3 linked regions of the Stegostoma tigrinum genome follow. The protein of the gene in region 1 purifies or fractionates together with the protein of each later gene. This does not show direct contact. Links are inferred from orthologs where the notes say so. Each region holds a gene or a part of one and is shown on either strand. Other genes may lie near its edges. The genes, in order: actl6a, brd8a and SWI/SNF complex subunit SMARCC2.

Region 1 (3,749 bases):
GCACAATTTCTATGTTGAAGTGTAGTTCAAATTTCATCTTACTCCAATAACATAATAGTTATACTATCATGTTATGCATATACCAGAGAAAATGTGTTCTTCTTGAAACAGATGTCTTGAAGTTCACTTTAAATACAAACTATTTAGATGGCTGCAATGTCAAAGAGTTACACACACATTTGGACATAACAAGGTGTAGAGCTGGATGAACACAGCAGGCCAAGCAGCATCAGAGGAGCGGGTCTGGGCTCTTCTTCAGAAATGCCGATGCTGAAACTGCCATTCTTAAGAAAAGTGTCCAGACCTGAAATGTCAGCTTTCCTGCTCCTCTGATGCTGCTTGTCCTGCTGTGCTCATCCAGCTCTACACCTTGTTATCTCAGATTCTCCAACATTGGCAGTTCCCACTATTTCTAATAGAATTTTAGCCTTTTACTGAAGGGGGCTCTAAATACAAAGAGGAGGTAATAATTCAGTTATATAGATCTTTGAACCCTGTCTAGGACACCGCACTTAGCTTTGGGTATTGTTCAGGAAGGAAATATTGGCCTTGAAAGTAATTTGGCACAGATTCATGAGAATGATATCTTGGCAGACAGTGCTAAGTTATTAGGAGACATTCCATATACCCGTTTTCACAGAGCAGAAATGTGAGGCGTGATCTCTTTGAGGTGATTAAAACTTTGAATTTGATGGGATAGATTGAAACAATTCTTCCGTCAGCTGGGAAAGTGAAAGTATCATCTAAATGTTTGATCCAAATTTCAAGGGATGATAAGAAGTATTTTTTCACAAGATATTTGGATTTGTCACCAAAAGGCAAAGGATGTTGAGACACTTGGAGCTTACAAAGTTGAAATTGATACTTATTTTAATTAATTGGTAGATAATTAACTACAAGGATTATGGAGTGAGTGGTCGGCAGATAAAGTTAAACTATCTGACGAAGGGTCACTGGGCTTGAAATGTTAATCTCTTCACATATGCTGCCAGACTTGTTGAGTTTCTCCAGCAATTTCTGTGATTGTTTCAGAACTTCAACAATTTCAGTTCTTTATTTTACTAGAAATAAATTATAGGTCAGTTGCGATCTAAATGAATGCTGGCGCGATTTCAATGGTCTATTTTCACCCGCAAAATGAAGGTTAAATTGAGGATACTCTTCTCAAACACTTCTGCAGTATTATCTTGGGCCTACAACGAATGCCGTAAGACAACATTTCTTCTTGCAAGTAAGACTCAATTTTATTTGACTTCTGGGTAGGACGGACCTCAACATTCACACCACGAACTTTCGTGTATATTTTTCCCCTCCCGAAACAAATTTGTTAGCTGGTTCCATCTGAAAACCACTCTATTGTCCTTCCAAGCCGCTCCAGTCTATTGGTTATTGATATTTGATTGACGTAGGATGTGGGCGGGATATCTATTTCTATTGGTTGCGATGACAGTCAGCGACGTGTGTCCCCACCCTGTTCGGCTCTGGATTGGTTGGGATCGGCCATTAGTTGCTCTTTGTTGGCCCAGAGCGGGTTTTCGGTCTGGAGCCGGCGTTGGGAGGGCAGAGGCCTTCGTGGATCATAATCATAATCATCAGCGACAGTCTCTCAGCGGCTTGGAGCGGACATGAGCGGCGGGGTGTACGGTGGAGGTGAGTGAGCAACAGCGGGGCCCTGCGTACGGTGCTGTAGCCCCAGCTTGAGGGGTAGTGGCGCATGCGGGAGCGGGAAGGGCAGCGTGAGGTTGGAGGCAGTTAGGCTCGAAGACCGAGATTTCCAGGCGTTTCATCTCTGACTGCAGCGTCTGCACTTCTTGCTAGTTCATCTCGTGGACTGGCTCCCCTTTAGTCACTGCTTCATTCATTTCTCACTCACATTGCTTTGTCTTAAAAACTTCTCCTTACTTCATATAAACAGGCCCAGATGCAAAACTTTTGATTTTAGGTTGCAGACGGCAAACTCAGTCTGACCCTAGTATTGCTAGCCTTTTCTGTATTTCTGAGATGAAGGTTTAGGATTAAGGTTGGACGATATGACGAACGCGAAAGGAATGGCAAATGTTTAAAGTTGGGACTGTCTTGACAAATTAAAATTGAGTTCTTGTGCGTGTCGTATCTTGGATTTAAGTTGCGCTTAGGAAATTACATTTTAAAGGGTATGTAAACATAACAAGTTACACAATCATTGATTCTAACTAGGTCGTGCATAGTGTAGTTGTGCCAGCTTAAAAAATCTAATTGAGATTTTGTCTCATCTGAAAATAGAAGTGGGTCTTTGAGACCCTTGGGCGTGCTGTGACATTCTAGATGGTGCTGATCATCTTATCTCAATGCCATGTTGTCTCTAGAAATCTATCAGTCTTTCTCTTGACTTTAATCAATGACAAGGCTTTCACAGCCTTTGAGAGAGGTTTCCAAAGATTTGCTACCCTCTGAACAAAGATATTTCTCCTTGTCTCAGTCTTAAATGGCTTGCCTTTTGTGAGACAGTGTCTCCCGGTTCTAGTTCCCACAGCCATTGCAAACCTCTACTCTGTTCTTGTTATAAATTTTATAAGTTTCAAGAAATTGCACCTTTATTCCCCTCAACTCCAGAGAACACAAGCTCAACCTCTTGAGAGCAATCCCAACGTCGTGGGAATTGTTTGATTAAAGCTACTACTCAATGCCCTCCATTCGTGCAATCGTAGAATCCCTACAGTGTGGAAGCCGGCTGTTTGGCCCATTGAGTTCACCCTGACGTCTGAAGAGCACCCACCCCCATGCCCCCTCCCTGTAATTCTGCATTTCCCATGGCTAATCCAGTTAGCCTACTCATTCCTGGACACTATGGATGATGTAGCATGGCCAATCCACCTAATGTTCACATGCTTGCACTGTGGGAGGAAACCCTTGCAGACGGTGGGAGAATTTGCAGGCTTCACACAGATAGTCGTCTAAGGCTAGAATTGAAGCTGGGTCCCTGGCACTGAGGCAGCAGTGCTAACCATTGAGCTGCCCCATTATCATAGACAATGAATTTATTTCTTTTGATTGAAAAGTTATTTTTTACTGTATTAATGCATTTTAATTGATTTCTCAGTCACAATATTTCTTGCCATCAGTTCCATTCAGTTTGTTTCTAATGCTGCTTTTTAAATAAGTGGAGAGCATGAAAGACCATTCCAAGAATTGTTATTTCATCTACCTCCGTATCCGGAAACTGCTTTTGGGGCTGCAGCTTATTCTTCAGAGAATCACAGATGCCATTTCTTGTTTTTCAATTCTGTGTCATAGCATTGCTGTCAGAGGAGGAACAAAAAGCATCATAAACATGTTTGAATTTGGCTGTTTTAACTATAAGGTGGATTCAGGTAGATAATGCAGTTGATGTGTGGCCTACAAGCAAGCCTTTTGGCAACATCTGAAATCGCAGGCTGAGTAAACAAAATAAATGCCAGTGGCATCTAGTGGAATGTAACCAATTGGATGCAAAATTTGCTCACAGGCAGGAAATGAAGGGTAATAGTTGCACAATTACCTGTCAACAGGAAGACTGTTATAGGCATTCTTCTAGGCTCAATATAATGCCCCTGATTTTTTGAGTATGTGTACTTAAATGATTTGAATGTAAATGTAGGAAACATGATCAAAAATTTGTGACGAGACAACAATTGTGGTTGATCACAAGGAGGATACCTAGACTGCAGAAAGATGTCAGTGGACCCCATTGCCTTTTAGCCCAGTTGGGTAGAAAAGTAGCAAATAGTATT
Region 2 (3,749 bases), on another chromosome or scaffold:
TCAGGTGATTCCAGGGCAATGTCCCACTCTCCAGCAACTCAAGGTGAAGCCCAATGCAGACTGGACACTCAGTGCTAGGATAATCTGGGCTGGAAGGTTGTTGTTCTGCACTTCCATTTGCACAATGCTGGACTTTGAATTTCTCTATTTTTCTAAGATCTGGTAACTGAAGAAGCTGTACTGAGGTACCTTTTGTACCTAGGATGGTGCTGTAAATAGTGACTTATGAACTTTTCCCTACTCATTTGAGCATTTGACAATGAAGCTTATTTTATTCTGTTCTATGTGGGGTGTTGCAGTGGCCCTACCTCTGATTGAGGAGCCTTGCTTTGAGTCCCCTCTGTCTCAACACCTTTGAATAGGTTGATGAGAAAATATCTGCAGAGACCAACACTGAAACTCTGCAGCAAGGTGACGGTGACAATGACACCACCCAGAAAATGGAGGAGCAGCACTTTATATTCAGCGATAACAAAGTGTGGAGCTGGATGAACACAGCAGGCCAAGCAGCATCTCAGGAGCACAAAAGCTGACGTTTCGGCCCTAGACCCTTCATCTGATGAAGTCTGGGTCTTTGGGGGGGGGGCAGCGGGGAGAGAAGGTTGTGTTGCTGGTGTCTGGGTCTTTTGGTTGGGGGGGGAGAAGGTTGTGTTGCTGGTGTCTGGGTCTTTTGGTTGGGGGGGGAGAAGGTTGTGTTGCTGGTGTCTGGGTCTTTGGTTGGGGGGGTGAAGGTGGTGATGCTGGTGTCTGGGACTTTGCGGGGGGGGGGGGTGGGCAGAGAAGGTTGTGTTGCTGCTGTCTGGGTTTCTGGAGGGGGGGGTGGGGAGAGAAGGTTTTGTTGCTGGTGTCTGGGTTTCTGGGGGGGGGGGTGGGGAGAGAAGGTTTTGTTGCTGGTGTCTGGGTTTCTGGGGGGGGGGTGGGGAGAGAAGGTTGTGTTGCTGGTGTCTGGGTCTTTGGTTGGTGGGGGGGTGAGAGAAGGTTGTGTTGCTGGTGTCTGGGTCTTTGGTTGGTGGGGGGGTGAGAGAAGGTTGTGTTGCTGGTGTCTGGGTCTTTGGTTGGTGGGGGGGTGAGAGAAGTTTGTGTTGCTGGTGTCTGGGTCTTTGGTCGGGGGGGAGGGGGGAGAAGGTTGTGAGGAAGAAGGTTCCCTGCTCTTCGCTCACCGGGGTCCGGCGTTGTTGCCTGGTTACAGCGCAGCCAATGGGTGCTCTGCATGTGACATCAGAAGCCTTGACCTTTCACCCTTGTTTATTTTATTTTAGCAGTGGAGGAGAAAACACCGATAATGTCCTCAAATTCAACATTCAGTAATAATGTTAATAATCAGCGGTCGCGTTTCTATAAAATCTCGTGGGATAGTGATGGTTTAATCTTTTCTCCGGGCGGGGTTAGAGGTCAATGCGCGCGGTGGTTAATGGGACGATGGCGGCTAGTAGTGGCAGTGAGTAACCTGGCGACGTGGAGAGAGTGGGAATGGGAGAGACGGAGAAGTGGAGGGGAAAAAAGGGAGGTGGGAATAGAGTGGAAAGGTGTGAGTAGAGAAAGTGGGGAACGGGAACAGGGAGGAGGAGGAAAAGGAAAGTGAGAGTGAGAAAGAATGGGGACGAGGGCTATGGGTAGAATAGCGGAGAGAGCGAGGAATGAATGGAGACGGAGTGAGAGGTTGGTGGTAGGGGCTTCGTGGATGTTAGAGTGGCTCATTGGCGGGATGAGGAGGAGAAGCTTTCAATTTAGGAGTCCGAATATGAAAGAACTGTCAACGTGGGCAGTGTGGAGCAGTCTTGAGTTCTTGGCTTGCCTTCCCTTCCGCAATGTTAAACACCTGAAGCTTTTATAATGTTATTAGAAAATGCTGAAAATATTTAGTAGCTTGATCTGAAATGTTGACTCTGTCTGCATAGATGTTGCTAGCTGCCCCGAGCCTTTATAAAAACCGAAAGAACTGCGGATGCTGTAAATCAGGAGCAAAAACAGAAGTTGCTGGAAAAGCTCAGAAGGAGAAAACCAGAGTTAACCTTTCTGGCTCGGTGACCCTTCCTCAGAACTGAGCTGCCGGACCTGCTGAGCTTTTCCAGCAATTTTGTTTTTACAGCTAGGAAAATGTTGGTTTGTATGCAGAGGATAGGGTGGGGAGAGGTGTAAGGAGTAAATCATAAGTTGGGATAGAGCCCAAAGAAAGGAAAGTGCATTTGGATGGACAAAACTGTTCTTCCAGTTTGCTCTGAACTTTACTGGAACCCTGCAGCAAGTCTAACACAGTGATGTTGGCCAGTGAACAGGGTGGTGCGTTAATGTGGCAGGCAACTGGAAGCTCAGGGTCTTTTTGTTTTGTTTTGTGTGGGCAGAACGTAGATGTCCTACGAGTGTGGGTGTCTGAGACACCTTTGTCCACTCCCCCTTCACTAACACCCCTCCTATAGTTCTGTGGTACCTTGCCCTGCAACTGCAGATGATGTAACACTTGCCCGCCCACCTCCCTCCCTACTCTCCAAGTGCTCAAATATACCTTCCAGGTGGAGCAGCACCATACTTATAGATAGACCCTTGCTCTGTGACTAAAATACACTTAGCCTAGGACTTACTACTGTGTAGAAAATAACTGGAGGAATTACTGTTGTTGGGACACCCAGATTAGCCCAACAGTGTCTCTGGAAAGAGAATCCAAAAAGTTAACCTTTAAAACTAACTCTAACCTTCTGAACATTTCAAGCATATTCTTCTTTTATTTCCAATTAAAGCTTCCATAGCTTTTTGCCTCAGTTTTTTACATGTAAAAAACTAAGGTTGTACCAACTGTGGCCAAACAGTGATTCAGGTGGTTAAAGAGCACAGGCAAACTGGAAATCATGGCCTGGATGTTCCAATGCCAAATGGTGAATTTTAAGATGTTTGTTGCTGTTGTGTCAGGGTACTTCAGAAGCTCTGAATACCTCATTTCTGCAGTATTTGCTCAGCAAGTTAAAACCTCCATTGGCCAGGTATGAAATGCCAGGGCCTCTCTGAAAATGTTGACCTCTGTTAATTTCTGGTGGAGATTAGTGTTAATCAGTGGACCCCATCCCACAGCCTCCACATGCAGTCACCTTCATGAGCAACTTTAATTTTTCTGTGATAATGGGAACCGCAGATGCTGGAGAATCCAAGATAACTTTTCTGTAACGGTCTGGTGCCACTTCGTGGCTTGCTAGTTAACAATGTTGAATTACCCCATATAGGTTAAGTTCTTCCTTAACTGCCATTACAGAACCTGGTCACTTTTTTTATGGTGAGCCCAGTGATCACTTATACTGATACCAGTCCCTGTATTAAAGCAAAGTAAAGGTCCTGCAAATTATGGTGAAACTGAAAAGGAGGCCTGTTTCATGTTTGTTTCATTATTCAGTGGAGAAATAAAATGAATTTTAAAAAATGCAGGGCATAAATGAAAAGGGTGATAAATAGAATGAATGGAAATAGAATAATTGCAAATGTGCAAGTCTTTTGATAAGCATGAACAGCAGGAGATAGATGAAGGGTAGTATCTAAAAGGATAACTGAATACTGTTGGTAATCTTGCATTTCTCTTCAAGGAATGCCATTGTCACAGCAAAGGAGTAGATAATAGACAAGTGGATGAAATAAAAGCAAGAGTTGGTGCTTAAAAGGACAACATCTGGTCTAGAAATCCTCCCTCCTACTCTAAAATAACAGGCCAGCTCCAGTCCCTGATGATAGTTGCTGTTACATGTGTTTTCTTGTAAAAACGTGATTTA
Region 3 (3,749 bases), on another chromosome or scaffold:
TTCCCCTCCACCCACTGCATCCCAAAACCAGTCCAACCTGTCTCTGCCTCCCTAACCTGTTCTTCCTCTCACCCATCCCTTCCTCCCACCCCAAGCCGCACCTCCATTTCCTACCTACTAACCTCATCCCACCTCCTTGACCTGTCCGTCTTCCCTGGACTGACCTATCCCCTCCCTACTTCCCCACCTATACTGTCCTCTCCACCTATCTTCTTTTCTCTCCATCTTCGGTCCACCTCCCCCTCTCTCCCTATTTATTCCAGTTCCCTCCCCCCATCCCCCTCTCTGATGAAGGGTCTAGGCCCGAAATGTCAGCTTTTGTGCTCCTGAGATGCTGCTGGGCCTGCTGTGTTCATCCAGCCTCACATTTTATTACCACAAAACAAACAGTTGGGCTTGGAGTCCATAAACCACTGTAATTGGTGATTGCACTGGTCTACTGCGTGCAACACCCTCCACCCCAGCTCCCCAATGGGAAAAGAGAGAGGACTCCTACATAGGGAGCATTGGGGATCTCTATCACCTGGTGGTAAATGGGTATGTCAAGACATATCCCGACAGGACGGTGGTGCTCAGAGATAATGGGAACTGCAGATGCTGGTGAATTCAAGATAATAAAGTGTGAAGCTGGATGAACACAGCAGGCCAAGCAGCATCTCAGGAGCAAAAAGCTGACGTTTCGGCCATCAGAAAAGGTGGTGCTGTCTGCTCCTGCAGGCGCACCTCTGGCCAGGCGGTGGTGCTGTCTGCTGCTTCTTTGCTCCTATCTTCTCTCAGTGAATTTGTGGTTGAAAATGGCGGTGCGGAAGAAGGACGGAGGCCCGAATGTGAAATATTTCGAGGCCTCAGATACGGTGTCGCAGTTTGATAATGTGCGCCTGTGGCTAGGGAAGAATTATAAAAAGGTGAGAGATGCCAGTGGAGTGGATCGGAAAGGGTGAGGATGCAATTGTTTGTTGGGCCCTGGACTGTATCCTGATGGCGGGTGGAAGTTCGGCTTTCCCTGTCCTTGACATCGGCCTCGGAGCTTCCTGTCGGGTTGCCCAGCCGATGGTCGTAAGTCTCCGTCTGCGGAACGGAGAAAGTCGGAAGTGGAGGACGCCGAATTGCAGGCAGCCCGGTCTGCTTCCATTCCTCGCCTCATGCTCAGAAACTCCAGATCAATTCTCCTTCCCATCTCTCCCTATAACTACTTAAAAGCTGCTTTCGTCATTTCAAAAATATCTGCCCCGTCTGAAACCTTTCCCTCTCAAAAAATTCAATCCTACTTCAAAACCAACTTCGCCTTAAATCTTCAACGACACTTTAAAATGTCCAATCCCCTTAAAAAAACCTTCATCCCGAAGACGCCTCCTGCTCCCTTAAATTAATCCCCTTTGAAGCTTTCTAAAAATCCCTTCTTCCATGAAATCCCCAATTCCCCCGCCGTAAGCCTCCTCCCCTTGCGAACACCTTTTACCACCCCATGAACTCGCTATCTCCATAAACGCCCTTCACTCCCTCACTTCACCACACCCCATTCCTTTAAAAAGCTTCGTTCTCCTTCAAACCTCAATTCCCCCTTTTTAAAAAAAACGTTTCTTCCTAGAACCCCCTTCCATTCCCAAAACCCCAAGAAGTCCCTTTTTCTTAAAAAAACAATCTCCCGCTTTAAAAAGTAGCTTGCCCCTTGAAACCAATCCCTATTTAAAACCAAGTCTCACTTAAAATCCCGGCCGCTGAGAAATGCAGTCTTTCTTACGACACAAAAGCTCCTTTACTACATAAATCAAATCCTCCTGAACACGTTCCCCTCCGCCATTTAAAAGCTAGTTGAGATGCTTGAAAACCAAAATCTTCCCCTCACTCCCCTGCGTCAACACTTCTGGCTGAAGGTTTTTGTAAATGCTTCTGCCTTATCCTTTGCACTGATGTACTGGGCTCCACCATCGTTGAGAATGAGCATGTTTGTGGTGATGCCTCCTTCAGTGAATAGTTTAATTGTCCAATACAATGAATGCTTACATGTGGTAGGACTGCAGATCTGGATCTGATCTGTTGGTTGTGGAATCATGGATAGATATGTCTGCAACAGGCAGGTCGGTGAGGATGAGGTCAAGAATGGTTTTCCCTCGTCAGTTCCCTCACCACCTGACGTAGACCCAGTCTAGCAGCCATGTCCTTTAGGGCTTGATCAATCTTAGTTGTGGACATTAAAATCCCTCATCCAAAGTACATTCTGCGCACTTGCTGCTCTCAGCTTTTCTCCATACGATGTTGAACTGCACTGATTCATCAGTGGATAGAAGATGCTGTCTGGTAATCAGTTTCAGGTTTTAATTGCCCATTTTTGACATGATGCCGTAAGACTTCATGAGGGCAACTCCCTTCCGACTGCCACTGTGCAGCCACCTCTGCTGGGTCTGTTGTGCTTGTGGGACAGGACATATCCAGGGATGGTAATGGTGGTGACTGGGAATTTTTCTGTCAGGTATGATTCCATGAGTATGACTATGTCAGGCTGTTGTTTGACTGGTCTATGAGATAACTGTCCCAATCTTGGCACTGGCCCCCAGATGTTAGTAAGGAGGACTTTTGTCTGGCTAACAGGGCTGTTTTTTTCCATTGCAATTTCAGGTGCCTAGGTCAGTGCCAAGTGGTCTGTCTGTTTTCATTCCTTTATTTTGCTTTCTTGTGGTTGATACAAATGAGTATCTTGCTAATCCATTTTAGAGGGCACCAAAGTGTCAGCCACGTTGCTGTGGGCCTGGAGTCACGTGTAGACTTCCTTCCCTAAAGGATATTAGTGAACCAGATCGGTTTATCTGACAATCAATAATATTTTCATGGCTATCATTAGATTCTTAATTCCAGACTTTTATTGAACTTAAATTCTACTGTCTCCCATGGCCAGGTTCAAACCAGGATACCTAGATCATAAAGACAGATTGCTAGAAAATCTCAGCAGGTCCAGCAGCATCTGTGGAGAGAAAGCAGAGTTAACGTTTAGAGTCCAGAGACCTTTGTTCAGTTCTGAGTTTTTCCTTGCCATGTCTGGTTTTGGTTTCTGATTTCTAGCATCTGCAGTTCTTTGTTTTGTCTTACCCAGAACATTTTCTGGATCTCTGAATCAATAGTCTCGCAACATCCCTAGTCCATTGACTGCCCTAATAAGCTTAAAAAAGGCCTTTGGATTTTCATTAATGTTACCCATCAAAGTTTTTTCATGTCCTCCCTTCATACTCAATTTCATTCATAAGCAGAGATAATGGGAACTGCAGATGCTGAAGAATCCAAGATAACAAAGTGTGAAGCTGGATGAACACAGCAGGCCAAGCAGCATCTCAGGAGCAAAAAGCTGACGTTTCGAGTCTAGACCTTCATCAGAGATGAAGGGTCTAGGCCGGAAATGTCAGCTTTTGTGCTCTTGAGATGCTGCTTGGCCTACTGTGTTCATCCAGCTTCACACTTGGTTTTCTTTGTTCATAAGCAACCCCCAGCACTTCCTATGTTCCTCTAAGGTATCTACAGTTTTGAGCCTTTGGTGTCTCCTATTATCTTCCTTTTTGCCCCTTATCCAATCCTGCATTTCCCTTGACATCTTGGTATGTTGGTTCCACCTTTCCCTTTAGAGGAACATGTTGGCCCAGCACTCTCTCTATTGTCCTTTTGAATGTCTCCCACTGCTCTGGTGTGGCTTTTCCTGCAAGTTGCTGCTCTCAGTTTACCTTGGCCAGATCCTGTCCTATTTTTTAAAAATGGCCAAAGAG

Evidence for each region.
Region 2: the proteins of actl6a (region 1) and brd8a fractionate together in Homo sapiens (co-fractionation; 4 studies listed by BioGRID and IntAct, with this or other methods). This does not show direct contact. The link is inferred for Stegostoma tigrinum from reciprocal best matches to the Homo sapiens genes ACTL6A and BRD8.
Region 3: the proteins of actl6a (region 1) and SWI/SNF complex subunit SMARCC2 purify together in Homo sapiens (affinity purification with mass spectrometry; 8 studies listed by BioGRID and IntAct, counting the BioPlex papers as one, with this or other methods). This does not show direct contact. The link is inferred for Stegostoma tigrinum from reciprocal best matches to the Homo sapiens genes ACTL6A and SMARCC2.

What each region holds. Positions count from the first base shown.
Region 1 is NC_081367.1:36,938,916-36,942,664, forward strand, and holds the start of actl6a (actin-like protein 6A), read left to right. Parts: upstream 1-1,485; 5' UTR 1,486-1,625; coding exon 1,626-1,650; intron 1,651-3,749.
Region 2 is NC_081376.1:48,890,975-48,894,723, reverse strand, and holds the start of brd8a (bromodomain-containing protein 8), read left to right. Parts: upstream 1-1,413; 5' UTR 1,414-1,419; coding exon 1,420-1,438; intron 1,439-3,749. UniProt on the Homo sapiens protein: May act as a coactivator during transcriptional activation by hormone-activated nuclear receptors (NR). Isoform 2 stimulates transcriptional activation by AR/DHTR, ESR1/NR3A1, RXRA/NR2B1 and THRB/ERBA2.
Region 3 is NC_081404.1:1,311,588-1,315,336, forward strand, and holds the start of SWI/SNF complex subunit SMARCC2, read left to right. Parts: upstream 1-768; 5' UTR 769-794; coding exon 795-905; intron 906-3,749. UniProt on the Homo sapiens protein: Involved in transcriptional activation and repression of select genes by chromatin remodeling (alteration of DNA-nucleosome topology).